4 linked regions of the Arabidopsis thaliana genome follow. The protein of the gene in region 2 interacts with the protein of the main gene of each other region in a pairwise test. Each region holds a gene or a part of one and is shown on either strand. Other genes may lie near its edges.

Region 1 (8,482 bases), on a different chromosome or scaffold from region 2:
TATGCATCTCCAGCACCACATGTATCAACTGGCACGCATGGGGACGGAGGAATGTAGATGGCCTCTCCTTTTACTCCAATATATGACCCGTTGATTCCATCGGTAACAGAAACAAACGGAACAAAGTGGCTCATGTATCTTGTCGCTGAAATTGGACTTTCCTCTGCGGAAAAGTGACAAAACGCTCTTGCTTCATCGCTATTTGCAAATACAATATCCGCATAGTTCCCCACAATGTCCCTGAATCAACAGAAAACCATCAGCATTTATCTAGGTTCAAGTTTCGTTTTTTCGAGAGACATTCACAGCTTGAAGCATCAAAGCTTCTATGACTTATCAAGCTACAGAAGATAATCACTCTCTTCGTATTATTTCCAACTGTTCCTATCCGATGGAACTGACCCAAAATCAAATAGACGCAAGAATGTATTCAAGTAAAGGGAGAAGAAACTGACCAGAAATCATCATAATGCCTCTCTATGCAGGACACATCTGATGCTGTCACAGCAACAAGTGCCCCGTTTCTGTGGGCTTCTTCGCAGGCTTTTGTTATGGTTCTTATAGTATCAGGAAGCTCAAACAAATAGCCTTCCACAACAAAGACATTTGTCTTGGCTATCAAACTAGCCAAACAAGAATCATAATTAACGACAGAGGATGTTCCCTGAAATTATACATAACATTAGGTTTGTTATTTAGTGGGATCAATAAAACTGAAAAACTTATCAGAGTTAACAATGCTACTACTATCTCAATGTGGTTGCTTTATGGAAGCAAATCGATCCTACCACTACAATGATCTTGCACGTCATCTACTTCAAAAGTTAAACTTTGCTCGACTCTTGTGGAAGAAGAAAGGGAAACCCTTACATTTTGAATAGTAATACATTGCAAGAGCAATTTGCTGAGATCAGAAATCCTACCTGATATGCAAGCATAGTACGTTGTGCATCAGGAGTTGTGAGAACTATCACTGTTCCTGTTGTTCCGTCCTTGATTGGAGCAGAAAGAAAATTTACATTTGCTCGTCGTAGTTTAGTCCTATAGAAACAAAAAAAAAAAAACTTGTGAGTATACCAAACCAAATGTAATGATAGGCTAGTTTGACGCCTTACAAACTACTCTTGTATAGTAACGATTCTCTACATAATTCCATACTCCAATTCTTAAGAGGGGAATAAAAAGTAGACTATGTCTAACTACATACACAATTAGCCAAAAAAAAAGAGAAGGGCCATATAAGTAAGACAGTTTAGTACCCGTAAAAGCTACCGAGAGGGTCACCTCCAATACTGCCAGCCATTGCCACATTCAAAGGCCGGTCACAGATGGATTGAGAACCTAATCTTGCGAGAGCAACTAAAGTGTTGGACAATGAGCCTCCAGCTGCCGCCTTATAGCTACAACCATCCATTGCTTGTAATAATTTACCCCTCTCCTCGTGATTAATCAGTTTCCTTGTTCCCTTTTCTAAACCAAGTTTCTTTAGAAACTCATCATCCACAACTCCAGAGAAATCTACCTAAAACATAAAACACATCATCAATAACCAAGTAAGTATTTTTAGGATCCAGATTCACATATTTCAACCATTTGGTGGCTTCAAGGATAAGAAGAAGCTAGAAGCTAGAAGCTAGAATGATTTATTATAGGAAACAAAAACTCACCATGGCTTGGCCGAGACCCAAAACATCCCATCTCTCAGGCGAAGCAGCAGAGGAATTATTAGCATGGACTTGTATGAATTCATCGTCGTCTTCGTCTTCATTTCCAATCCTCTGGATTTCACCTTCATCCATATCATCCAATTCAGCACCGGCTCCGCCACCAATCCTACAAACCAATTGCCTATTCTCCGCCATGGAAACAATCCTCAAGTTCCCAGAAGCTCCGAAAAACGAGGTCGCGGTTCTGGTTCGTAAGGTTCCTTTGGGGTGATATAAAGAGTAAAGACGGGAGAGAGAGGAGGAGGAAGCATTATTAGAAGCGGTAATGGCGGAGAGAGTGAAAAAAAGAGAGGCAGAGGTAGGAATTGGAGAGAGGAGGGAGAACGCCATGGAATTAGATAGTTTTGCTCTTTGAATGAAGAAAGCTCACATCTCCATTCAAAAGCGAGAGGAGCAAGGAAGACCAGCAAAACCCGAGAGACGGCCTCTGAGAGGATAAAGTATGACTTTGACTTTATATGTTTATTTATATAAATCTTATTAGGATAAAACTCTATTTCTTATTTATATTCAAACCCAAAATTTCAGAATAAGCATAATTGCTAACAATTTTATTTTAACTGTATCTTAAAAATAATAATGTATGTTGCGTCTATTTATAAATTTAAAATTTGTTTATACTATTTATCATTTGTGTTAAAATTGGCTAATTCTTCTAGTGAACACATCCTTATACGTGGCGTTTGTAATTATCGGGTTAGTTACCAATTACGGAGAATAAAAAAAAAAAAAAAGTAGAGAGCTATTCCCGCGGTAAATTCTTCAACAACTATCTATTTACCTTTACACCAAATGTTGAAAGAAAAAACAGAATCAAGACATTCAAAAACGAAAGCAGAAAGCCAGAAAGAACCTGAAAATCTTGATCTCCACCGTTCTTAGTACATACTAAGATTCATTTTCTCGAAAAAGGAAAAAGAACCGAAAAAAAAAATAAGAGACGCAAGTATGCACAATGCCTAACCTTTCCACCTACAATAAGTTTTGGAGCTGTGAGTCCAGTCTCTGCTGCAACTCTTTTACCTTCTGCGAAAGCTCAATCTTCTGCTCCTTATAGCTTCTAAGTAGATACTCTTTCCCATCTATCACTTCTTTAAGCTCACTCACTTCCTTTCTCAACATCTCTACTCTTTCTCCATCCCTTAGGCTCTTTTCTTGTGACTCATAATTGCTTTCGCTGTCCATAAACCCGCCATTCCAAGGTCCAACCGGAGATGTCTTGCCATTGCTGTCCGCGCCACATCCCACGCTGTGATCAGCAATTGCCTTTCTCAGTCTTTGAACTTCTCTTTCTGATTCAAACAGATCTCTGTTCAGTGTGTCTAGCTGTGCCTGGAGATGGCTTGAGTGTGCCGTCTGTGCGTTATACGAGTTTTGCAGCTCTAGAATCTGTTCTTGCATTTCCTGTATCATGTCATCCCGTCTCTTCAGCTGCTGCCTTAGTTTCTGTATTACTTCTCGTTTGCTGAAAATGTCTGAGCTGGTTTCAGATACGCAAGGAGAATCTGAGCAGTTTGAATTGTGATTGTATGGTCTTGGGGGAAGTTCCAGGCGATCAGGAGAAGTTGCCCACATGACTCCATTCTCTTTGCTCGATGGAGCAGGAACTGTCACAAGAGGCAGTGAAGTGTCAGATGCGGATATCATTTGCTCGCTTGTCACCTCTTTTCCTTCCACACTCTCAGTTCCTATAAAAATAAAGAAGCAAAGGCTGATAAGATCCATACACGACTGTTTGCTCTGGACTACATGAATATTAGGATTCAGAGATTTTCCAAAGAGAAAACATAACTCAGGTCTGGATCTAATAGTACAAAACTTGTAACTATGCTTAACGAGGTCTTGGTAGATAACAAAACTAGTAACTGTTTTTAGCATTCAGCCACTAGACACAGCCATCAATGGAGAAAACCTGCTTCCCTAGTTGCCAGCCCAATTGATGCAAATTAATGGTAATATGCCACAACGAAACAAGAGATATTCGATTCAACCAGTTATTGCAAGGTGGCAAATCTTGTAACTATTTTACTCATTCCATAACTTCGAATTGGATTCCCCTAGTTGACAAATACATCATGAGGTAAGATAACAGAGGCTAGAACTCTATAACAACATCTACACATTCTCCCAACTAGATTTTACTATATATCACACATCGTTTTAACTTCATGAAAGGAAACCCAGTAAGACATGATGCGAGACCAAGAAACAAGCATATAGCGTTTGTTTAGTAGATTGAACAAATATGTATGAGGCAAAACAGAAAGTTACAAAGTCACACCTGGAATGGAGCGGAAGCAACAAAAATCATTATTTTGTGTACAGGAAGATGTGGTAGAGTGTAAGCAACAGCTTGTAGATTTTTGCCTCTCAGATGTTCCATTAGCTGCACAAGAGGCTTTCATTTAGTGATAGAAAAAAACTAGAACCAAATTATAAAACATGTTAAGCAACACAGCGATAAAGTAAGTACGTTTTAATCCAGCAGAGCCATTTGATTGAGGTTTCGAATCAAGCGACTGCTTTAGCTTGTATCCAAAGCGAATGGACAATGTGCTCAACAATGCACCCCCTGCAATTAGTATCCAGTTTGGCCCTTCACCACAAAATTTATCACCTCGCTGATGCTTGGAAATGCCATTTCTTCGTGTACTCATTGTATGAGAAAGTCAAAATGTATCTATCATCCAAACATAACCTACATTGAACGGATACAAGAATCAATCATCATCAACGATCAGAATGAATTGGGCATATGTCAACAAGAAACCTGGTGTCAACTCAATAAAATCAACAAATATACAATTTTAAAATCATCAAATGCTTAATACCCAGAAAGATTCCAGAAACTAGAATATGAAAAGATAATGAGCACAAAGAATCACGTTTTGAGCATTACCTCAAACACAGTCAACCAGAGAAGGAAAAACAAAAAAAAGATCTAAAATGATAGTAACACTGAAAAGAGAAAGACAAAAAAAAAAATGGAAGATTCTCTAAGTCAAACATTCTCAGTTGAGAAAGTATACGACGAATCCATGGAATCATATAGGAGCACAGACTCTACCTCAAAAAAAGCAAATGCAAGAAAAATGGAGTTCCCTGAAAGAGTAATCGAAACGTTGATGCCATGGGATTTAGATTCTAAAACTACAAAAGCAAGAAGAAGAGATAGATACTTGCCTTGAACATGAAGCGAAATGAAAATAATAACAACCCTTATTTTTTTCGATAGGGGCCGTTAATCGATATCCCAACAACCCTTAATGAACACAACAATCGCAATCAGAAGGAGAATAAGGAATTACATAAATCCGAGCTCGAAAATAGATTTTCCGACGAATCAAAAATCAGTGAGCGAGCGAAGCACCCAAAAACAGGGAGAGTATAAAGGACTCTTTAAAAAACCTCATAGACAGCAGAAAATGGGCATTAGGGCTCCATAGTTTCCCTCCCGAGCCAGAAAATTTCTCCCGCTTGAGTTTCAATGTTTGATGGGTGGTCCTTGCAGCTTCGAGAATCGAAAAAAATCGCTGAGAGAGAAATACGATTCCGTGAAGAATCGCAGAGTCTCCGACGATGATATGACTGTAAAACCCCCGGGGAGGAGAGAGAGAAGCAAAGTGGAGGGGAAGAGGTTGAAGAGAGACGGCGCCTCACAGTTACAGCTCCGTTGTTGTTTTTTCCTTCCACTGTTAATTCATTTATTAAAATAAAATCACGCACGCGTCAACCACGTCCCATGGATGACGCTCACGGTGGTTAACAAACTCAGCTCATATGTTTTTTTCTTCTTTCTTTTCTTCTTTACGATTTCAATTTTTTAGTAATGAAATTTAATAGATAATTTGAGTATGAATGAACATTTGACATCTTTATCCATGTGTAAATGTTTGCACTTTCTGTTGATTATTTTTTTTTTTCTATTTTAAGTCACTACCAGCTAATGTGATGATACATTTTTCTTTTGTCTTCTTCACTATGTGACAACTACAAAATTAAATATTTGGTCCTTCCTTCTCTAACGATTTTCTTCCTTATGAATATCAAAACCTGACTGAAATAAGTGCCAAATTAAATTTTAGCAACCCTTCTTTCTCTTTCCTTAAGAACAAGTAACCAACTTTCTTGTAAAAAACTTCAACTGCAATTCTACAATTTAAGCCTTGAGACACGATATTGTATGAGTTTGCAACTTTCGAATATCCACTTCACCAAGAGAAAAAAACAATTTGGATAAAATCATAATTGACACCCAAAACAATGTAGTCAGTTGATAAGTTTCCCCGGAGAAATTGAGATATTTTTGAACAAAGATTCATATTTTTTACTCGGGGAAACAAAAGAGAGTGGTAAGAATGCACAATGCCTAACCTTCTTCACCTACAAAATGTTTGGGAGCTGCGAGTCCAGTCTCTGCTGCAACTCTTTTACCTTCTGCAAAAGCTCTGTTTTCTGCTCCTTATAGCTCCTAAGTAGATACTCTTTCCCATCTATCACTTCTTTAAGCTCACCCACTTCTTTTCTCAACATCTCTATTCTTTCTCCATCCCTTATTCCATTTTCTGGTGACTCGTAGTTGTTTTCGCTGTTCACATCGCCACTCCAACCATTGCTACCTGTGTGTCCCACGCAGTGATCAGCGATTGCCTTTCTCAGTCTCTGGACTTCTCTTTCTGATTCAAACAGGTCCCTGTTTGTTGCGTCTAGCTGTGTTTGGATATGGCTAGAGTGTCCCATCTGGGCGTTTAGCGAGTTTTGCAGCTCTAGAATCTGTTCCTGCATTTCAACTATCATGTCGTCACGTCTCTTCAGCTGTTGCCTCAGTTTCTGTATTACTTCTCGCTTGCTGAAGATGTCTGAGCCGGATTCAGATACGCAAGGAGAATCTGAGCAGGTCGAATGTTGATGGTATGCTTTCATCGGCACTTCCAGGTGGTCAGGAGAAGATCCCCATACGACTGCACTCTCTTTGCTATATGATGAAGCAGGAACTGTCACAAGAGGCAGAGAAGTACTGGACTCTGCCATTTGCTCATTTGTAGCATGATTTCCTTCCCCATTCTCAGTTCCTGCATAAATGAAAATAAGAAGCCAACTCTCAGAACACCCACACAAAACTTTTCTGCCATAACACAAGCCATCATTGGGGGATAATACTACAGCCTTCATAGTTTCCAGCTCATTAACGTAAGTAGCTACTTAAGTATGAATCCTGATTGGGGTACAAAGACATCTTTAGTCAAATATTGTTCCTGATTGGGTTACAAAGATCATTATGCAAGATACTAGAGGCTACAAATATGTAAGAACCATCTCCATATTCTTTCAACTATTTGACAACATCTCCCAAAATCTCTTTTCACTTCAAAGATACCACAAAATCAAACCCCAGTAAGAGACTATGTGAAGTGAAGTTATGTATAAGCAAATTCAGTAGTAAGAATAACAAACTCACAAACTCTCACCGGGAGTGCAGTGAAAGCAACAATCATTATTCCTTTCACAGGGTGATGCATTAGAATGCAAGCAGCAGCCCTTAAATCTTCCTCTGTCGGTTGTTCCATTAGCTGCACAACAAAACAACCTACCAATAAGATAGAGAATACAAGCGAATTCTAGGACATGTAAGCACTAAACAACCAGATAAGTACGTTTTAATCCACCAGTGGCATTGGAATGAGGAGGTTTGGAGTCAATAGACTGCTTTAATTTGTAGCCAAAACGAATGGACAATGTACTCAACAAAGCACCCCCAGCAATTAAGATCCAATTTGGTCCTTCACCGCGAAAACTCTCAAACCGCTGATGCCTGGAAACGCCATTTCTTCGTGTAGTCATTGTAAGAGAAGGTCAAAAAATGTCTTCTATCATCCAACCTTAACACTGAAGAGGAAGCCACAGTCTCAAGTTTAGTAACAGAACAGAGGCCTTTAATCGTAATCAAACCCTATGCGAAGGAAAAATGGCAAACAATTGAAGAACACAGAGGCTCAACGACAAAAAGAAAATCGGAGAACGATTCAAAACACCAAAAGTGACGATAAAAAGGAAACAGAAATCGGAAAATAAACCTCATCGGGATGGGTAATACTGCAGGGACGATTCTCCCAGAAATTAGGGTTGCTAAGTGACAACGATCAAGTAGATCGAGAGACTAATGAAAAAGCTAAAGTTTGTAGAACAATTATGATAATCAATGGTCTCTAGAAGGGAAAACGAAGAAGCTTACCAGGCTGTTTTAGAGAGACAGCGCGGCGCAGAAACAACTACTCAAAGGCCGTTGAAGCTTCTTTTTTTTTTTCTTCACCCGCCGTGAAGCGTCCCAAATTATCTTATTTTCATAGTGTATAGTACTGTTACTAGATATTTTATTTCTCAAGAATGTCGAATCGAAATTGGCGGAAAAAAAAGGCGAAATAAAATAATGTGGAATCGAGATTACTACTTAGGCCTTTTGATTGATATTAAACTGAATAATTCCTTCATGATTTTGTATAATGTAAGTAACAGTTGATTTAACCTATTTCACAAATAAAAAGTAACGATTAAGAAATGAGATTAATATAGGATCAAGATTACGACAAAACGAAGGATACATTTCTCTTTATTGGCGGCAGTGACTCTTGGTGATCAGATGACAGAGGTTATCTCATTCCTAGAGAATGTAAATTTGTTCTCAACCTATGCACTACTACTGCACTAAGAAGTTGTAAATTATTCTATATATATATTTCTTTAGATTTATCTTCGTT
Region 2 (8,250 bases):
ATATGCAGCAAAGTGCGGCGTTCAAGATACTTAGGACAAGACTCAAAACTGTGCCAACGTACTCATTCAGTACTGGAAACCAAATAGGCAGAGCAACTTCAGGAGTTCCTTTCTCTCAGTATAAGCATCAAAACGAGGACGGTGACTTAGAAGACGATAACATCAACAGTTCTCACCAAGGAATCAATTTTGCTGTGCGGCTACAACAGTTCGAAAACGTACAGAATCTACATCGTGGCCAGGCAAGGACTAGAGTGAACTACTCATATCACTCTTCCTCTTCTTCTACATCAAAGGTACACATAACGCTACACATTTTTGTCTGTTAACCTGCGGTATAATATAACAGGATGGTGTAACATTATTGCCATTTTTGCAAGATTTACCGGTTTTTTCCCTTAGCAATTGGAGTGTTAAGAGATATGGATAGTCTCATTGTGCTTTAATTTGATGTATTAGGAGGTGAGGAGATCTGAAGAACAACAACAGCAGCAGCAGCAACAACAACAGCAACAACAACAACAACAACGACCACCACCTTCTTCGACATCATCATCAGTTGCAGATAACAATAGACCTCCATCAAGAACTTCAAGAAAAGGCCCTGGTCAATTACAGCTTTAACCTACCTGGTAATCATAAATAATAAATAATATTCCATCCCCGACAATCATCATCTTCATCTTCTTTGTGTGGACACCACCGATCCCTTTTGTCTCCTGTAAAATTGTATATCTCTCTTTTTTAGTAACTCTTCAAGTTTCGACGGAACTTGTGGAAAAGCTACGGTCGTGTCCATCATCTCTTTCTCTCTGTCGGGTTTTTTTTATTTACGAGAGATTCTTCTTCAGTCCCTCAGTCTACCTTTATATTGTTTTTTTGGGGGTTTCTCGTTTCTTTGAATTTGTTTCATTGTTTGGAGCTTTTTATATTTTTACCTTATGTGGAGATGTAAGAAAAAGAAGTGATCATGTGGTTTTGTGTTGTTTTTTTATAACTGGAAAACCACATGAGTTTGTAGAGGTCACTTATTGGATATTTTATGTCAAATGATGCTCCTTTTTACATTTTCCTCATCTCACAATGATTTACATCTTATACAATGTTTGCTAATAAGAGACATTACACTTCACTAGTACTCGAATGAATTGTACATATACTAACCACTTCCAGTAGTAGAACAAAAGAAACAATACAGATATGGCCTGTGGCGACTTTATTGCTATATATGATACTAATATGTACCAACAAGATTTATTCTAAGAATACAACACAGACTTGCGTTGGAAGAAAGGCAAAGAGAAGAGACGATCTATACAAAGACGCTTAAGAAACTTAATTCAAAGAGCAATAATCTTCTCGAAATCTGATTCATCTTCAAAATCGGATACATGATGAGAGTAAGACCATGAAAACGACTTACTACTCCCTCTCCTAATCCTTCTCTGTGAATCGTTGCCGCTCCTAAACCGCTGCCGAAACACGAAATAACACATACTTGCCAATGTCCCTACCAAGATCGGTGCTCCAAGCAACGTTATGGTAATCGCCATCCACGAGTTCCCCTTTCCAACAACCGCAAATGCAATCGCCAAAAATGCTCCGAATGTGCAAGCACAAGCTGCCCACATTAGCTTATTCACTACAGACACAACTTTCTTCTGCGCCCGTGTGTCCCACGCCACCAAAGTTATTTGAACTACCACAACCGCTAACGATATAAACAGAGATGTCGCGTTTAAAAGACAGAACACGCGGAATCCGGTTCTCCCTGCAATATTGGCTTGTCCCACATGCGACCCCTCCGTGAAATACTGACCCGGCAAGTTGAATATGGCCAAGAACGCTATGGAAGCAAACAGAACCGCCACTACCGTTATGGAGTTAGTCGTGTTCTGAACCGCTTCTCTGTGGAGTTTCCTCAGCTCTTTCGCGATCCCAGAGACACGACGGTTGGTTTTCTCATTCTGCAAAAGCTGCGATTGCACCTCGTGTTTGATATCACTCACTGCTCGCTTCAATGCTCTCGCCTCATCTTCTCGACCAATGAACCTCCCATGCTTAGCCCCAGCTTCTACCAAAGCCTCATTGATCTCCAAAGCAGATTCGCTATATTGCAGCTTATCCGCCAAATCCATAGCAGTTTCTTTCTGGTTGTTAATCGCATTCACTTCAATCGCCGTAAAGGTCAGCAATAAGCTCGTTATCTAATAAACAAAACACAAAAGGCATTTATGTGTCAACCCCTGTTCTTGAAAGCTAACTAGCAATACAAGAAGCTAAGAAAGGAGTGGAGTAATACCTGTGGCCGCGCCTTTCGAGTAGCAATATGCAAAGCAGTGTTCCCTTTTCGATCTCTCTCATTCAATATTGTGTAATCAGCCTGCAAAATCTCTTCGACTACTTCCAAACTTCGTCCTTTAACAGCCATGTGAAGAGCAGTCTGACCTTTCTTATCTTTAACACCAACAATCGCTGCGTCTTTCTCTATGAGAGCTTTCACTATCCGAAGAAGCCCGTACCTTCCCGCAGTGTGCAAAGATGTTTTCCCGTTCTTTCTCACAATCATTGCACAGCTAGGATCAACATCAAGCATTGCATTTACTATTTCTAAGTGATCTTGAACCGCAGCTGCGTAAAGCGGACTCGTGTTGGAAGCGTCGCAGATTCTGCAAAGCTCTGGCCATAGTCTCAGTAACTCCTTCACAATTCCTGGAGATCATAAGCAGAGCCACATCAAAATATCTTCAAACTACGAAATTCAAATCCATTTTCAGCAATTTCAGATTCAAAATCATAATCAGAGAGCCAAAGTTTGAAGATTTGAAGTCAGAATTAGTGAGACATACCCAAGTGACCTCGCTTGGCAGCGACATGAAAAGCGTTCATGTCGGATTTGGATCTGATCTTAACTGTTTCCAAACTAGAAAACCTAATCAAGTAACGAAAAATGTCTTCAAGATTCTCTGCGGCGGAGATATAGACGGCGGTCTCTCCGGCGTCGTTTTGCACAGACATAAGCTCAGCCACAGCAGAACACGGCGATGACTCATCGATTAGCTCATCTCCGGTTAAATTGTCAACTAACTGTTGAAGTTGACTAAGATCTCCTGATCGAACAGAGGAAAAGAAAGCTTGGTGAGTAAGAAACTTCATCTGCTTCATCTCCATCTCTGTAAAGCTCTGTCCTTTCTCTCTCTAAACCAAAAAAAGTTATCAACTTTACACAGACCCAGTACTCTCTAGCTCTATCTCTAGAAAGCTCAGCCAAAACCCATCAACATGAACAGATTCGATCTCCAAAAAGTCTTCTTCTTTATTTTTAGTTATGCTTTGCAATGAAATTGGGATTCATGTGAAACCATGTTTGGTTCTTTTGCTTTAAAAAAAGAACAAAATTCTTTAAGGTTTTTGCTTTTGTTGGAGAGTTGACACTAAAAACTAAAAAGATGATAAAATGGGAATCTTTTTTTTCTTCAATCAAAACCTGAATGGTCTCTAAATTTCTCCTCTCAATAATTCGTTTCTCTGTATTTTAAAATGTATTTTTTTTCCAATTTTGACGAGACAGCAACATTATTTCTCGAAACAAATTATTTGTCTTTTTAAAATAATTTATGTACTATATAGTCTATAGATAACGTATATGGACCGTTGACAGTTGGAATTATATTTTAATTCTGGAAATATTTAAAATGACATGTTATTTTCATGTAAATATATTTTTCTTTTACCGTTTTAGATTTATTATTTATTGCAAATTATGATTTATGAGAACCGTTATATAGCCGATTCTATTATGGGTAATTTGTTTCGATCTTTATTAGATCCACGAAAGACGACACTTTCTTCTCCGTCTTCATGCTTTTGATGGACACCTTGAAAGATCTTCAAATCCTGGCAAACAGTTATAATTGTACATCGTTCGAGATCTCTTGCACACTTATCTCCATTATCTGCTAATAAATCACAGTATTTGGGACTTGAACCTCAATTTCTTTGTGTATAAGTATTAATAGAACTTTCCGCCAAAAAGGCTTCCACTGTAAATATATCATTACTAATATAGAAAAAACTTTAAAAAAATAAAAATAAAAGAGTGAAACCGTCCAAGCCCAAGTACAGCCCAATTATTTATATATTAAAAAATGGGTTTATATAATACGTGGCTTCTGTTTTGTAAAAAGACATGTTATTATGGGCTTGAAGCCCATTATATTTTTAATAACTAGCAAACTAAACGGTCCTTTTTGTGTTTTGTGAGAGCTACTTCATGTTGACGTCAATAATGCACCGTCAAAGTCTCCGTGACGGAACCACCACCGACCCAAATGACCGGCATCACCGTCAACTTCTTCGTCACCATTAGCTTTCATATAAGTCTAAATTCATTTTATTGCTACGTTGATAGTCCTTTTTTGTATATAACGTTTTAACATTTTATCGATAGTTTCAGAAAATTAAGAATACCATAATGAGTATGAACTATGATTCTTATGGTTTATTTTAGATATATAGAAGACATAGCTAATCAGTTCTTTGACAGTAATACAAAAATGCCTAAAATTTTTATGGATTAAGAGAGAAAGAAATAAAATTGACAAACAAAAAAAAAGCTACATTCCAGAAAAGGATTAGGTTGCAAGTGAGACACGTCGAAAGATAGTGACTGTAATATTTGGATTTTATCCACAAACCAACCAAAGTAAAACAAAATTCAATTAATTTAAATTATCATATTGTGGAAATTTAAGTGTTCTAGAAAAAAACATATAAACAATGACTTTATCTTACATTAAATATGTATAAGTAAACTTTGAAAAAGATGTGCCCTTCAAAGTCTTCGAAATCCTACTTGGATCCAATACATAGAAACTATTTATAAAGTATATTATATACACAGTTTTGTATTTTTGCTACAAATCATTTACAGTTTTATATAAGAATAATGTGAAACAAAAATTTATTTGTCAAATTATCAATTAATTACTAGTTAGAAATAATAACATTAAATACATTAGAAAATCTATAGTTTGATATTTATTGGAAAATATATATTAATTACATGCACTGAGGGTCCTTTGTTATATACTTTATTAGTATATATCTGACGTCAATAATTTTTTTTTCTTATTAGTTGGGTCCCATATATTTGTATAAACTTGACTCTAACCATTGTTTATTTACTAATGTAATCTTCAAATCAGATATAAAATAAATGTTGGGTTTGGTTGATCCAACAAAATTGCCCCCACATTTGTCTACGGAGAGTCCATCAGGTCACATGGGTGGCACTAATTGAATCTCAGTTCAATATATATATAAACAGAAGTATTTTTCATTATGGTATTATAAGTGTTGGAAGATTACCATACATTTGAAATAAACATGTCCATAATTAGACAGAAAATTGAACCTTTTGTATAAGTGTATTGATGAGGCAATAAAAGTCCAACTACACATCTCAAGGTAACGATTGGTTGGAATTTTTTTTATCCATGTATAACGACAAAAAAACATAAACAGAAACAAAACAAAAATCAAGAAACCTACGTCCACAACTCTATCTTTGGTCTGAAATCTGAATTCTGAAAACTATAATCAACTATACTGGTCTAATCGTCTATGATTGGTAGAGTTTTTCCAAACCTAATGATAGGACACACGAATTATCGCTTGGGATCATGCTAAGCATAACCTTTTCTTTATTAATTTAACATCACAATATCATTATTAGCATAACATTTCTTTGGTTAAAACTAATATCATCAACGTTTTCACGGTCATTGCATAGGTTTTAGAAGAACCATTCAAGGGTTTAAGAAATAATGATCTTAATTAACACTAGTAGACGATCAAACAAAAACAACCACGATCTAAACTCACACGCGAGCAAACGAATTCGTTCTCAACTATGAATGAAAACTCAATTCGTATATAACTAGGATCCATAAGACGACCATAACAATGATTTATTATTTTTCTTTCTTTTTGGTTAATTCTGATTTATTATCTTCAACGCTTTCCTTAAGCAATGTACAATATTGTTTTGGACCACAATTGTTGGATTTGTCTTGGTTTCAATCATAGCTACTAGTATAGACGTCCTAAATTGTAAGAAAACACCTCTATTCTACACCCCGAAGAATATTATGGAACTTCATTTGGAATATTCTTTATTTTTGGTAGGGTGGAGGAAACAATTGCCTTTCACCATTTATTAGATTAAATTACAAAAAATTTATAAACAAACTCGACGTCTGTTTCCACTGCGTCCTGTAACATAATCAAATGGACTACATCAGCGCAAAAATCAAATGTATGAAAACCTAACTACAAATAAAACGTATAGTTTGCTAATTCGTCTGTTAGACGATTAGTCTCCCTATACACATGAGAAATTCGGACTAACCAATTCTTTGAAAAATAACTATGACACAAACATATCTCAAAAGCTATCGGATATGCCTCACTTATCCCTGACTGAAGAAATCCTACTATCAACTCTGAATCTACCTCTAAATCCACTTTCCTAAGCCTCTCTCCCAAACAATCAGCAGACCATAGTAAATTCCCCACAACTCCATTAAAAGTGCCTAGCATTTGTCAATATGTAGGGCAAATCCGCCTACCCAATAACTATCCCCATCTCAGATCAAATTATATTCTGAAATAATACTTAAAATTATAGTTTTTTTTAACACCAAAACTTAAAATTACACTAAAAAGTAATTTTTCTAATCAAATATCGGAAGAAAAAATAGATAATATTTGAAATCCATTAATTATATTGCATTTTTATAACAATTATAATTTGTCAATTAGTGATAAATGAAAAAAAAAGAGAAAGAGAGAGAGTTGATAACTTGCATAATGTATTATTAGAGAGGGAAAGAGAGCATGTGGTGTCCGACCATTTCAACTCTCACGACTTGCTCCGGTCTTCCTCTGATGCCGACATCTTCTTTCTTTTTCTTTTTCTTCTCTTAAATTTATAGACTGTGGGTTCTAGTCCTATAATTAATATCTCACCAATATTTTAGTTTAACATTTTTGATATAGCTACTAACTTTTTAAACCGAAATTCAAACTAAGGTCACAAATCTACAGCCGATCGATGCATAAACTTTGTAGTGGTTAAGAAAACAAATCCAGTAAAAGGTCGATGCAAAGTTCGATCCACCAACCGAAAGAAATGGTTATATTTAACTCGTGTAACCAATTTTCTACGCTTTTTCATGTCACGTTAAATTATATATTAACTGTTTATATATAGACATTACATTCAAGATTCAACGTCGTTTTCATAATAGTACGTAATATAAATATAGTATGTGAGAGGGAGAGGGGTTAGGTTTAGGTTTTGTGAGTAAAATATTATATTTTCATACATTTTAGCTTCTCAGTCTACTACTCAACAATGAATTAAAATCGATGTTTTTGAAGCAACTAAAATTCAAATCAAATTCTAGAAAGTCGTTTTCCTTCTTCTCGATATTCTTATGGTTTTCTAATTTAAAATGCATGGAATCGTAGAAAGTATTCCAAAATTCAATGTTAATTCTAGAAGAAAACTTTAATCGGCAAATTAAAATTCTTTAATAAATCGTTAGTTTTCTAGAGACTGCAAATAATATTTCTAGAAGAAGAATAAAAGAAACTCATAAAGTCATAATAAACAAAGCCGAATCCAAATATATATTTTACATAACAACTACACCAAATTATTTTGGAAGAACATTTATATGAAGTATACTTATTAGGGAAAAAACAATTATGCTTATTTCATATACGTCGATGTTCCAAATGTTTTTATTGCTTTATATGGTTAGATATTTTATGAATTTCTATGTAAACTTTTAATTGGGTTTTTAAATATACATCTCTAGCTATATTGTTGCATGTAAACAAAATGATGTTTTTAATTAAAGTGTGGGAAAAAACAGAAGAGAAATAAGTAATTTCTTTTTAGAAGAGGAGTATAAAACATATATGCATATGGGGTTAATTTTCCAACATGATAAGATAGCATCAAAAATTACTATAACGAAAAAAGAACTAAAGATACGAAATAGCAACAAAAATACTAAAAATATGAAAAAATAAAATTACCATAAAAACTAGTGTACACAAAGGTCAAAATCTTATTTACATTTGTAATTAGGATCTATATTTCAAAAAATTGAACATGGACCATAATTGTTTTTGCTATTTTTGAGCTGGCCTGTTTTTGCTATTGGTAAATGGTGG
Region 3 (7,127 bases), on a different chromosome or scaffold from region 2:
AATAATAACACCAATGTTAGTTACCTCAGGATTTGATACAGAGAACTCTTGAAAACTGGAGAAACTCGAAACTGGATTCTTGTAATTTCCACCTAAAAACTCTTTGCCTCGCTTTTCTAATAACTTGCCTACGTTAGTTAAAGAAGCAACCTTCCTATAATATACAACAAAGCCAAAATCATAAGAATCTGAAACAAACGGAGAAAAATCAATTTATGGTAAACAAACAATTCGTACGGGTCGGGTATCCAAGCGGGTAGGTCGGGTCCGAAATCCTTGTAGCAACCGTAATACATCATCTGGTGAAAAGAGAAAGGGAGATTAGGGTGAAGGATCCGCCGAGAAATCTGAATCCACGTCTCCGGCGGCGTGGATGAACCGTGAATAATGTCTTCGAGATCTCTGAGAAGCTTCTCGGAGACATCACCGGAGATTCCTAGAGCTTCGATATCAGATTTGGTGATTGAATTTAGGGATTTGTACGCCATTTTTTTGAGAGAGCTAAGAAATCATGAATGATTCAAAAAATGATGAGAGTGGCAGAGAGAAGAGTGGCAAAATTGTCCACGTAATATAAAGAGAGCTCGTGATCGCCACGTGTCAATCTGATTCTGATATTTGATAGCTTTTTTTCGCTCTTTACACGTCTGATTGGATTATCTTCTTCTTCTTGGTGATAGGAGTTACTTTTTTTTTATCTTCATGTTATATTATGATATGAATCTTTTTATTGATATCAGTCTATATACATTGTATGAGATATGAACTTGTATTCTTAATCTATGAATCATTTCAGAATCTAGGCTCCATATTATATACATTGTCGATATGTTACTATGACCAATTTTTTACCTTAAGTTTAGTTGGGTATTTTTTTTTTTGGGACAAACTAAGTTTAGTTATTTATATGTTAGGAATCATAATGAAAGTGAAAGAAAAAAAATGTTGATTGATTGATATATTGAGGAAAAGAAGATAACACTTTACATTTGGTTACTTTATATGATTTTATGTATCTTGAAATTGGTCTCAGTCTATATACATTATGTAGTGGTACTGATCTCTTACACCTTTTTTTTTTGCTTTCTCTTTTCGACTTTTGATCATCATCTTATTTGGTTTATGTCTTTTATTTATTGATTTCAGTCTATATACACTATCAATTTAGATTGTATGGATCAGTAGAGCAATATATGTTAGTCTATATAAATTTTATTTAATTTGGTGTAGAATCCGTTAGCAAAATAGACAATTTTGTTACAATTCGGAGTGACCGGTGTTACAATTAATATTAATTAGACAACATTTTGATTAAAAATAGTTTGTATATACTTCAACTATTGCACAATATTTATAATAGTTTTCAAAATTTATATCTTGGTTTTCACATGATTGAAAGCACTAAACTAAACTCCACAAAAAAAAAAACTTGTCTAATTTTTATTATCTTCAACCATTTGTAAAATGGATTTTCGGCAAAAAGCTATTGGCAATCCCACTAAGTGATAAGGCTAGGCCACACACACACACCTACCAGATGGTCCAAAATGATTGTGCATCTATGTGATATTACAATTAGTTGTCCATAACTCATTATGAATTTAGTCTTTATCCCAATTTTTTCCTACCACTATAGGCCAAACTCATCCCGGTTTTTGATCATACATTTTTTCTTTTAGATGATTAGCTACTACTTCAGTTTGATGTAATCTTTTCCATATATGATCATCAATGTAAAAGACAAGTAAGTAAGTAATTCGAAAATCTTATCTTATCAAAAGATCTCTCAAAGTTGAGAAATAAAGGAATACTAAACAACACTTGTAAAACTATATATATCCTCTGTTTTCAGTCGGAGCTAGGAAGGAACTTGGTTCCGGACCTAGTGCCAAAGCTTCTCGAAGCTGCCGGGATAATCCGCGATGGAGACAAGACTTGTGCAAACGAGAAGTTGTAAGAATCAGTGCCTAAACGGCTCTGCAACCATCCTCTGCCACCAGAGAATCCATCTGTCACAATATAGCAATTCTTGTACCCGAGAACCTTTAACGTTTTCGCCACTATCTTAGCCGAATCCGTGTACCTACGAGCCAAAAAGACCAATAAAGATTAAGCAAGATTCACAAAAAAGGTCTTGTAAAAGAGTAATAATCAAAACTCACGAGTCCAAGATGATGATATTGGAGCCTTTGTTGATTTTCTTGAGGTAAGAAATCTTTAATGCTGCTATCTCTGCTTCAACTCGTTTAGAGTTCCTCACGATTCCTTTTACTTTGTTTGGTAGTTCTTCTAATCTGATAATCACAAGAACAGGTTCAATGTTTTGAGTATAATAATAATGAAAAGAATTATCAAAGTTAGATAGACACATACGGAATGGAGATCACGCGGTTCTTAGCATTCGAAGGGAGCCGTGGAATCCCGGCTTTCTCCTTGTCTTTCTCTGATCTTATATCCACCATCAAGTAGTTCTTGGTGCAAAGAAGGTCAAGCGTTTGAGCCGGCGTAAGATCACCTTTATTAAAAAAACACAAACCAGAAACACAGAGTAATTGTCAGCATTTTGCTATGGTGAATTAGACTCTAGATACAAAATAGATCACTAATAACCAAATCAAAAACTTATATATGTTCTCAAGATGATCTATATGGAGTCTTGAGGTACCTTTGTAACCACGGAAGTTAAAAGAGATGGCAGAGAAAACAGGAGGGAGAAGAAGGTAAGCAAGAAACGCAGCACCAGCAGCAACAACAATGACACTAGGGTCAGCTGAAGAAATCGTATCCATGGTCGATGAAGCAATCGGTTTAGCATCTTCTATCGCTTTTGACGTCTGTTGTGCTACATCTGTTACTGTCTACATCCCAACCAAAACACAGACAAACCACTTCAAACCCTAAACCCCAAAACCTAAATTGTTATGTTCTCATACATATTTGAATGTAAGAAATCTGACCTTTGCAGCATTAAAGACAGGCTCAGAATCAAAACCAGAGCTCTGCATTGCTTCTTGAGCTTTCTTTGAAGCTTCAGAGAAAGCAGGAGAAGCAAGCTTCATAGCTTCTTCACCAGCTTGCTTTGCAATGGGTAAAGCAGTGTCCAAAGCTGGTTTAAGAGCATCTCCTACTACTTGGAACACACGCTGCGTTGCATCAAATACACTAGAACCAGTTTCTTGAACTTGGTTGATTGTTTTCTCCACCTGTTAAGACACAAGAACACTCATCAACAAAAAGGAGACATTTTGGTCATTTCAAGAAGTAAAGTGAGATTATTATATATACTTCAGTGAGAGAGGAGACGATTTGGTCCTTGGGAATGGAAACAGCAGCTTTAGCTTCATGAGGAGGAGATGCAAAGAGAGATAACAGAGAGATTGAAGTTGATGTTGGAAGTGAAACAGAGACTTGTCTCAGACTCAGTGTCTTCTTAGTAGAAGAAGAAGGAAGAGTGAGTTTTGCAGATAGTGAAGACTTCGTTGCCATTTCCGCCATAGCCATGGTTTCTCTCTGCCACACTTTTTTACAAATCAATGCGACAGAGAAAGAGACAAAGAATCTTTAGAGCTTCTCTTCAATGTTGTCTGCAAACTGTTTCTTCAAGTACCTTTTTCTAAAGATTATAAATAAATTGAGTTTTCTGGTTAAGATTGAAGGAAGGGGATTTGAAAGATGGATTCTTATTGGTCAGACTAATCCTACGTGGCATTTTTGTGTTAAAGCTTAGCCGTTCGTTGCCAATCCAATACTTTGATATATGTCGTACAAGAATTTCATTGTAGCAGTAATATCAGAGGTGTACTACAGAATAAGAGCAACAAAAAATGAATACTGTACATTGAAACATGCTTATGGTTGTACACGAAGTAGCTATCTGTTTTAGCCGCCTCTTCTAACAATGAGTTCCATCAGTTCGATTGGTAATCAAAGAAGCGGTTCAACCTCCGCTCCAAGCGCCTCAAATTGTGTTACCAATCAAAGCCAATAAACATCATCTTGTATGAACCAAGACCGAAAACTGCTATTAAACTTCATTCCGTACAAAACCAAGTATCTTAAATTGGACTGATGTTGGTTTAGGTTCCGTTCTTGTGGTTCCTGTTTACTCTCCTAAAAATTTGAACAGATTTGAGCATGCTGATCAAGTGAAGTAAACTACCTACACTTGGTCAACCGTCTACTAGTAAAATTATAGACTCACTTTATTAACTTTCCCATGATTGAAGGAAGACGAGCAAACACACATGATCACTAGTTCCATAGCATTTACAAGTATATAATTCCACAAAATGTATAGTAGTACCATTACTAGACCTTAAAACAAGCAAGCTCACCATTTAAACTATGCTATTAAGTTCATGTTTGTTAAAGCATCAGCCTAGAGAGTGGTATCATATTATTAGTAGTGCTACCATCATCACAAATTCTATATAAGAACATTGTAGAGAAACAGTATTTTCTCATATTTTAACAGCCCCTCTTGTGTGAGGAATATAAGAAAGATAACAAGTCTTGATCTTGAAAAAGAACAAGATTCTCCTTTTCTTACCTAATTTGAAAATGGAATCATGATACCATTTGAAGTTTTGCTCCAAGGAATTTTAAAACCCACGAGCTAAGGAATCCTTTCACTTCACAAGATTCCCTCACCTTTTCTCTGTGCTGCCAAAGGTGAGGGAAAAAAAGAGAGGACACAGGAAGACCAATGACTTATAACAAAAGTGTCTTTTACAACAAGAAAGTTTAAGGAGTGAATTTGATTCTTCTTGAACAGCCAGTTTCATAAATAGTAATACGAAAAGAACAAGAAGTATAGCATGGCTCTCTAGAAGGTTATTAATCAGTGAATATCACCACTTGGATCCTGATTAAAGGGTTATCATCACGCACTCATTGCGCAATGTATCAAAGTTTTTGATTGTATTATACTATTCTACGTGGATTCCTTATCACTTGCCAAGAATGAACATAGTAATGCAAAAGCAAAGGTTTTAGAATTATGCAATGTCTATGTAGGTAATACTTAAAAGAGCCAGAGAAGTAAGCAAAAGCACACATTGCATCAAGAAACCAAGAGATCACAGCAAATTTCATATCAGGAACTCATAACAACATAGCCATGCTCAGGAACAAAATTAGCGTTGAGGGTCTGTAGTGACAAAAGACATAGCCAGGAAAAAAACCGATCTACTAATCTGCAAAGCTGAAGAAGTACAAGTTGGATTCAGTGGCTCAACAAACAAAAACAAAAATGCTAGATGAAGAAAGACCATATGGAACACAAACCTTGATACATACATGTAAACCAAAAGTAAAACTGCATCATCAGAATTCAGGACCATTGTTAAAAAACAGATCAATAAAAAAAAAAAGTTAAGACAAAACTGAAGTTGTAAGATTTAAGAATATGAGTCAATTATGAAGACATGACTACAAACAAAAACACATATGATAATTGATCTGTTACCCAAAACAATAACAAACAAACAATTTCATTTTATCCTTTTTTCATATACAAGAATTTTGTTTTCCCTCACTATCTCAACAGCTAAAAGATGAATACTTTGAATTAGATTTGGGATAAATTTTAAATATTTAGTTTCAGCAGCTGAGAAGACTTTATCGAATCCATTGTCCTGCTTCTCAGCAATACTCAAATAGATATCAATTAAACAAAAGTCATGAAGAGCAAGCAGCGCTGGATGCAGAGGTTTATCGATCGATTCTTGCTTTTGTAAACAAAAATAAATATTCACAGGAATTGATCGATGAACCGCTGCCTCCAGCGACTTCACTCTTTCCTCATTCATAAATCATAAATAAATAAACAAAAATAATTGACAGATCTGAGAAAATCGGTTGATGAACAAACACAAATCATTATTAATCTCAAAAAGATTAAAAGAAACATTTAGATAAATTTACAGAGAGAGGTGGATAGATGCAGAGTTATAAAACTAGGAGCTGCTCATATATATAGAGAGAATGCATGTGAGAAATAAGTGGAAGGAGAGGAGATTTTTCAATTGGAATCAATGAAATTTGAAAAAGAGGAATCTGATGACTCACCGTTTTACCGTACATTACATAATTTTCTCTCATCCTCGTCTTTTGTACTTTTTGGTCAATAAAAAATCCAACTCTATGATTGACAGTCTAATGATTCTCACTCTAGTTTTTCTCTTCTTTTCTACTTCTTTTCATTTTTATATAATTTTCACTTCTTTTTGTTAAAATTTATCAAATATCACCAAAATTTATCAACTCTATAATTTTCACTTTTTTTGTTAAAATTTATCAAATATCACCAAAATTTACCTACGCATTACAAAAGATAAACAATAGACTTTACCAAAACCTAACTCTTTAACCATAAGCTAAAAACAAAAAAAAACAAAAAAAAAAACAAGACTTTTTGTCAAATAAATAACAATAAATCATATATATCTTTTTCCTTCTAAAAATCATTCTATTATATGGAAGTTAGAATTAATGTTAAAGTTATACAAGACTATACCACAAAAATTATTACATAAACAGATATGTGAGTCATTTTCTAAAAAAAGTACGAAGAAACAAGATTTAACAGTAAATTATATATTAGTGCAATTTTCATCACTAAAGAAAAAAATAAGTTAAATATTACGGTAAAAGTATTCATAACAATAAAAATAAGAATCATCGAACAAAACATCAAAAAAAAATTATAATAACAAGATTACTCATCACATTGAAGCACCAAAAAAAACAGCTTGAATGATTTAATCTCATCACATTCAAGATAGTGAGATTAATGTTCTCATCGAAACACTATAAAAAAAAAAATTATAATAAAAATTTCGATCTAATACTATTTCTTTGTCATGAAACTAGCTTGAATTGATAATCAAAATATTTATTTTTAAAATAATATGTAAAGAAATCTGTTCAAAAATCACTCCAAAACTAGCTACCCATTAATACAAAAAAATTCAAAGAGTCGTTCCAATAGACCCCTTTTCCCAATAAACCCTAATTCCTTGCGGCTTCTTCTTCTTCCTCCTCCTCCATTCCTCTGTAATTATCAAATGTTTGGTGTTTCGATGAGAACATTAATCTCACCATCTCTTGCTCCCTTCTCTCTTCAT
Region 4 (6,351 bases), on a different chromosome or scaffold from region 2:
TAATAATGTATCTAAATATGATTTCTCTGGTCTCAACATGAGAGGTTCCAACATGAGAGTTTACAACCCTTGGCCGATCTTATGTTGTTTTAAGTTTATTCTGACACCTCTTTTTTTAATACAATCTTCTGTCTGCTCTGATTGACAGCATTGATACCATGATCATATAACCGTTGCATGTTTCTGAAATCAATCTCAAAATAATTGCTTCATAGTAAAAAATGATTACAAGATTCGAGTTTCATTTATTATCGTTATAACACTCACTGTCTCATTCGTCAAAGTCTTTAACAAAGTCAACGAACGACCATTAGCTTGGGCTTTCTCTCCACCGACGCGCCGCTCTCAGAATTTCCACTTACTCATTGTCTTTATATTCAAAAACTCAAAAAAAAAAAAGTATTAAGAATGGCTTAAGACCGAAACGTGTTTTCTCCTAGTCTGGCAAAACACAAAATAATAAATATAAGGAAACGCTTATGAATACTTTTCAATATTCTACATAAAGTCATTGAAAGAAGGATTGGAACAAAGTGAGAAGCAACAAAAAGAAATCAAAATCGTAGCTCCTAAGCAATACGTTTCTTCATTGGCAACGGTTTTGATTCCATTTCGACTCGAATGAAAAAAGGCCAAAGAGTATTCAGGCAATTACGGTGACGGTGGCAACAAATTATAGATTAAAACGAGCCAAAATAGAAGAAAGTGCCAACAAATCCGTGTGGGCACCAATCCAAAGTGGCAAAATCAATCAACCAGCTGTCCTCTCCCTCTAACTTCCGATCAAAGACTCTCTTTTTTTTTGTTTACGTTTTCTTTTCCTCATTCTCCTTGTCTTATTTTGATTGCATTATATTGAACTTGAGTTTAATCATTTTTCATTATTAAGGTTATTTATTTATAGACGCATGATGCATCAAGTCATAATAATTTCACCCGTGATGATCACATAATAATACTAATCCAAGACTCCATGTGTCGTACCCCAAAAATTTATCTCAATTATACTATGTACCTTATATTGTGCTATTTTTTTAACTAATAATTTCCCGACAATTTAGTAGTTGGAAATTTCTCGACCGTGTGATATAATCTATAATATAAAATATCATAATTATTAAACAATGATAAAATTTGTGAGCGACATTGGTATCAATTTCAAATCCAATTATTATGTTGACACAAGACTAGTGATTTATAGTATAACCAATTTAATGTCTAACGTAAAAACAATTACTATTAATTGATTTTCTATATCTGATCATATGTTCAACAAAACACATGCTAATCTACCCACCATTGGCGAATAAATTTATTGCAGAATATAACAGGAGAAAAATGCCAAGAAAAAAAAATCCTTATAAAAACGCACAAGAAAAAAGTAAAAGAGCTATTCTGTAAAATAAAAATGAAAAAAGTATTGAATCCTACATTAATAGATACAGGATATGATGTTCTGTTTCTCAACGGCTACATCTGTCTGTGATCCTTTTTTAATCCAACGATCCAGATCTCTCCTCATCGCCTATATAAAACTCACTTCTCTTACATCAAACAAACAACACGCTTGGTTAAACTCCATCAGTACTTTAACCATCACTTCAAAGTTCAAACTCTTTTTTTTTTTTTTGTTTGATCCAAATTTTAACAAAATTATGGATCGCAATTTCCTCCTAACAGTTACATTGATCTGCATTGTCGTCGCCGGTGTCGGTGGCCAATCTCCTATCTCTTCTCCGACCAAATCTCCCACCACTCCTTCTGCTCCAACTACTTCCCCTACTAAATCCCCCGCCGTTACTTCTCCCACTACGGCTCCGGCGAAAACTCCAACTGCTTCGGCTTCTTCACCGGTTGAGTCACCAAAATCTCCGGCTCCTGTTAGCGAGTCGTCTCCACCACCGACACCTGTTCCAGAGAGCTCTCCTCCGGTTCCTGCACCAATGGTTTCTTCTCCAGTGAGCTCTCCACCGGTTCCAGCACCAGTAGCTGATTCTCCTCCAGCTCCGGTAGCCGCTCCGGTTGCTGATGTACCGGCTCCTGCTCCAAGCAAGCATAAGAAGACTACAAAGAAATCGAAAAAGCATCAAGCTGCACCTGCTCCGGCTCCGGAACTTCTCGGTCCACCTGCACCACCGACTGAATCTCCCGGACCTAACTCCGACGCTTTTTCTCCCGGTCCTTCCGCCGACGATCAGGTACATTAGCTTATATCAACAATGTTGATATTTATCTACCGTCACAAGTTCGAGTATCAATGTTAAAAATAACCAATGAGACATTTCAAAACAGTGAACATAGATTTTCAATTTTTGTTATATTGATTTAGTAATTACATATTCGATTAACTAAAATGAAAATATGGAATTGAATGCAGAGCGGAGCAGCGAGCACAAGGGTGTTGAGGAATGTAGCGGTGGGAGCGGTTGCAACCGCATGGGCCGTTCTCGTTATGGCATTCTAAATTATTTATCATTTCACCTCTGATATTTTTTAGTTTTTATATTTTTGACCCTACCATTGTCTCTTTCTTTACGAATTTGGTAATGAGTATTATTTAATTGATTATACAGTTTGTTTTCTTTTATTTTATTTATATGGAAATAATAAGAATTCATATCTGTCAGTGATGAAAATACTGTTTTACACATTGATTGTTCTTTTCTTTTGCAGACAAAAGTCCTTTAGTGATGGGTCCGAGTTCTTTATTGAAAATGACACATTCAATTTTAATGCAGAATTATGGACATTTACTCTAAAATAAAATGTTTGTGTAAGTAACGTCTATGTAACAATAAGCAAAGCAGTTACATAATTTGTTTTAGTCTTTTAAATGTTTAAAGTGTTAGTAAATCAAATGTTGATATTTACGTTTGAAACCAATTACATGTGTTTCTTTAAACAAATATTTACAATTGGAGTATAATTATGCGAGAATGAAAGTGTCAGCTACTTAGTTGGATCTTAGTCTTTTATAATGTGAAGTTGGTAAATATTTATTGAATTCATATCTGATACCCAACTCAAGTGGCCAAGTTGCTATAAATGAATTGTCTAAAATTTATTACTAAACATGTATAGATCCAACCAATCATATAATACAATGCTTTTTATTGTACCTTTCAAATAGCTAGATTCATATTTTTGTCTTGTTCCTTAGAGAACTAGATTTGAAAAAGAAAAAAATTAATGGATATCTAATATGGTAGGCAAAAAGAAAGTGAGAATAGAGGACAAGTCATATTCCCCATGCTTTTATTAAAAGTACATTACTCAACTGTGAAGAAATGGCTAAGATTTTGTAAGTAAAGCACAAGTTATACTTGAACCAAGGTCTTGTGTAGAGATTCAAGATTCTTGGCTTTGCAAAGACACAAACCCACCAAGCCAAGTCTCTGATTCCACACACCAATACAAATTTGTATATAAACATAACATTTTCTTCTTCCTAAAGACTAACTTCTAGACAATATGGGTAGTTCAATGGGCTTTCTCGGAAAAGGTTTTGCAATTTTTTAACCTAACAATTATCGACTCAAATCGTTATATAACCGTTTTGACAAATTTTCGTCCTATATATCTTTCTAAATAGATTTCGATATTTGGCCTAGGGGTACCACCGACGCAGATGATGAATATGGTAATGGGTTCACTCTACAAACAATTTACCCAAAAAGCTATCAACAACTTCGACGATTTCCACGTTGCTGTTTTAGACATCTTTAAGTAAGGATTGTTTCATTATTTGATCATTCGAAAACAATGGTTATGTTGGCCAACATTTTTTTTTTTAAAAGGAATTTTATCTATTGAGTGCAGCAACTTCAACTCGGCTTTACCAGGCAGGCACTTCGATTTCCCAACCCCGGACCAAATAAAGGTGAGTCCTCTCCTCTATCAAAATCACACAAAGAATCTTATAATAATTTCTCTATATTTTTAACACAATGTTGAATGATCTAAACAGGTTTGTTTCGCGCGGTGGAAGGAAGCGAAAGACGAAGAAGAGAAGAAAAAATTGTTCATTGAGTTCATGTCAAAGAGCGTGAAGCCAAGTAAACTCGATGATGTCACTATGATCACCGGAATAGTATCTCCACCGGCGGCAATGGCGGCTAAGAGAGCAGGAGAGAATGTTCCTCAGTTAAAATTAATCAAACTTATACCTGATGTTATATTCGTCCCTACGGTCACCATTTTAGCCATTGTCTCTGCCAAACTCTCTAGACGAATGTATTTGAAATAGTGTTTTAACTAAGCTTTCTTTCTTTTCCAAACAAAAAAAACTTAGCACCGACAAGATATAAAACATGATTGATTGATAATACAAAATAGAGAAAAATATATACACTCTAAATTATAGAAGTAAAGTTCAAAAGTTGATGTAGTTTGAATATATTGTTGACATGAAGAATCAAAACACAGCCACTATAAATATTTCTTTGTACTTTAAAGGCTTAAGAGTTAAGAATATCTTAGAATGAACAATTTTTACTTTTTAACACAAGATCCGATTAGTTACTTGAAAGTTTCCAAACCTTCTTCAGGATCTTCTTCGTAACCCGGCAGAGCCTGACCTTCGTTTTCCTCGCTTTCTCTTCCTGTTGGAAAACCTAGAAGCCATCACAGCATTAGACTTTGGCTTCTCTCTTGAAACCCGACGCCTCTTTGGGTTACTCTCTTCCTTCGTAATGATTTCACGATTGCGCGGTGTTCTTTTCCTTACCTGCGTTGTGTTAGAATGGCATATGAGACCAAAAGGGTTTAGCAAAGTTACACTGAGTTAGCGGAAAACTTACAGGTCTTGATGGACCTTCCTCAATTGAAGCTTGTTCTGTCTTCACTAGATTCTTATCGGGAATAATAGATTTCCCTTCCCTTCGCTTTGATGCTAGAATCTCAGACAGTAAAATATCTGTTGTCTCGTCGTCTTCAGGTGAGACGTGATGAGATGAAACTGAAGCAGATTTCACCGGTTTTTCTTCAGAGATGATCGATTTCTCATCTTCGTTTTTGATAGCCAGCAGGGGCTTTTGTTGTTCTGAGCTGGTGTATACATCAGCAGCTCCAAGTGGATTCACTGTGTTAGCCAGAGGGAATATACTTGGATTTTCACTCAAAACCTTGTCTACGCGGATCTTCAAGTTACGGGCTTCTGACTTTGCTGCTTCAATTTTCAAAAGTATCTGTTCCAAGTACGCATCGCCTTCTCTAAACTCGAGAGGCGGTGTCTCTTCAGAGAAAGCTGTCTCATCCTTGGCGCTCTTATTCTTCTTATCTGATGACCCAAGACAGAAAATATTTTATAAGATCAAAGTTTTCAAAAGGAGTAATATCATATCATAGTTGAGATTTTAGAACACCATACCTAGGTTGCGGGAGTTGTCATTAAGAGCAATATCGGCCAAAGATTTCCGACAATCTATACAAAGATCAGAAACAATAAGATAAGAAATTATTAGACAAGTAATGGTAGATGAACATTAATCACGACCAGAAAGACAAGAACACCAAACTAGTTCCATACCATAATAAGAGAAGAGATTATGGTTTGATGCATAGGATGTAACATCAGCGGTCTCTTCAACTCGCTTTCTCGTTTTCCTCTTCATGAGTCGGGTTTTCTGAGTATAACATGGAAGAGGAGGTAAAGCCTTTACTCCAAGTTCTTCTGATTTGACATTTTCTAACTCCAACTTCTTGGCTTGGTAATATTCTTCAACTTCTTTGTCGTACTTCTGTGCTTGGTTCTGAAGTTCTTTGTATTTGAGTTCAATCCATTTGCAACGCCACATTAAAGTAGGCTGTACAAACCTCCTCCAATGATCAGTCAGCTTCCTTTTTCTGCCATAAAAAGGAACAAACCATAATAATTACCGCATACCATTCACGATATAGAGCAATTCTTCTCCTGACTTCCTTAAAAGGAGATAAATCAAAGACGCAGCTAGCTAAGTCGTAGTAAAGTAACACACAAATTTAAGTCCTTTCAGAATCAATCAAACAACACATAGATGGAACTGATAGTGTTCAATAATAAGTAACAGTAAACAAGGCTACCAAATCCATGAAAATCTACAACACCAAATTAAGCTACAGACGTTTTTCTCATTAGTACAGGAACCCAAGTAACTCCTAAATTTCAGTCTTTTAAGAATCCAGCAACATAGAGATGGAACTGATAGTGTTCAATTAAAAAGTAAAAGTACACAAGCTACCAAAACCATCAAAATCTCTACAAAACCAAATTAAGCAAGAGGACATTTTTTTCTCATTCTGCTATTGGTTAAACACACAACAAACCTTCATGGAAACCATTAAGATAAAAGACTAAATAAGAAGCGTGAGGAA

The links.
Region 1: the proteins of AT2G01680 (region 2) and AT4G27610 interact in a protein complementation assay, tested with the Arabidopsis thaliana proteins (one large-scale study listed by BioGRID).
Region 3: the proteins of AT2G01680 (region 2) and CaS interact in a protein complementation assay, tested with the Arabidopsis thaliana proteins (one large-scale study listed by BioGRID).
Region 4: the proteins of AT2G01680 (region 2) and AT4G37445 interact in a protein complementation assay, tested with the Arabidopsis thaliana proteins (one large-scale study listed by BioGRID).

The regions. Positions count from the first base shown.
Region 1 is NC_003075.7:13,782,949-13,791,430, forward strand, and holds AT4G27610 (intracellular protein transporter), read right to left. Parts: upstream 5,568-8,482; 5' UTR 5,136-5,567; exon of another isoform or gene 4,426-5,135; 5' UTR 4,385-4,425; coding exon 4,201-4,384; intron 4,114-4,200; coding exon 4,009-4,113; intron 3,416-4,008; coding exon 2,700-3,415; 3' UTR 2,465-2,699; downstream 1-2,464. Other genes in the region: NARA5 (pfkB-like carbohydrate kinase family protein), read right to left, coding at 1-240, 456-664, 924-1,041, 1,260-1,522, 1,668-2,057; AT4G27620 (intracellular protein transporter), read right to left, coding at 6,111-6,799, 7,196-7,297, 7,382-7,568.
Region 2 is NC_003071.7:301,518-309,767, reverse strand, and holds AT2G01680 (Ankyrin repeat family protein), read right to left. Parts: upstream 3,518-8,250; 5' UTR 3,172-3,517; coding exon 2,850-3,171; intron 2,713-2,849; coding exon 2,303-2,712; intron 2,208-2,302; coding exon 1,341-2,207; 3' UTR 625-1,340; downstream 1-624. Other genes in the region: AT2G01690 (ARM repeat superfamily protein), read left to right, coding at 9-296, 460-624.
Region 3 is NC_003076.8:7,734,912-7,742,038, forward strand, and holds CaS (calcium sensing receptor), read right to left. Parts: upstream 3,625-7,127; 5' UTR 3,502-3,624; coding exon 3,286-3,501; intron 3,204-3,285; coding exon 2,958-3,203; intron 2,859-2,957; coding exon 2,666-2,858; intron 2,516-2,665; coding exon 2,374-2,515; intron 2,295-2,373; coding exon 2,163-2,294; coding exon of another isoform or gene 2,159-2,162; exon of another isoform or gene 2,084-2,158; coding exon 1,849-2,083; 3' UTR 1,607-1,848; downstream 1-1,606. Other genes in the region: AAE17 (acyl-activating enzyme 17), read right to left, coding at 25-154, 238-488; TK1b (Thymidine kinase), read left to right, coding at 7,068-7,127. UniProt on the Arabidopsis thaliana protein: Modulates cytoplasmic Ca(2+) concentration and is crucial for proper stomatal regulation in response to elevated levels of external Ca(2+).
Region 4 is NC_003075.7:17,602,039-17,608,389, reverse strand, and holds AT4G37445 (calcium ion-binding protein), read left to right. Parts: upstream 1-3,445; 5' UTR 3,446-3,471; coding exon 3,472-3,502; intron 3,503-3,592; exon of another isoform or gene 3,593-3,611; coding exon 3,612-3,726; intron 3,727-3,819; coding exon 3,820-3,880; intron 3,881-3,967; coding exon 3,968-4,246; 3' UTR 4,247-4,296; downstream 4,297-6,351. Other genes in the region: AGP18 (arabinogalactan protein 18), read left to right, coding at 1,449-2,198, 2,378-2,464; AT4G37440 (uncharacterized protein), read right to left, coding at 4,544-4,726, 4,800-5,278, 5,369-5,422, 5,528-5,844.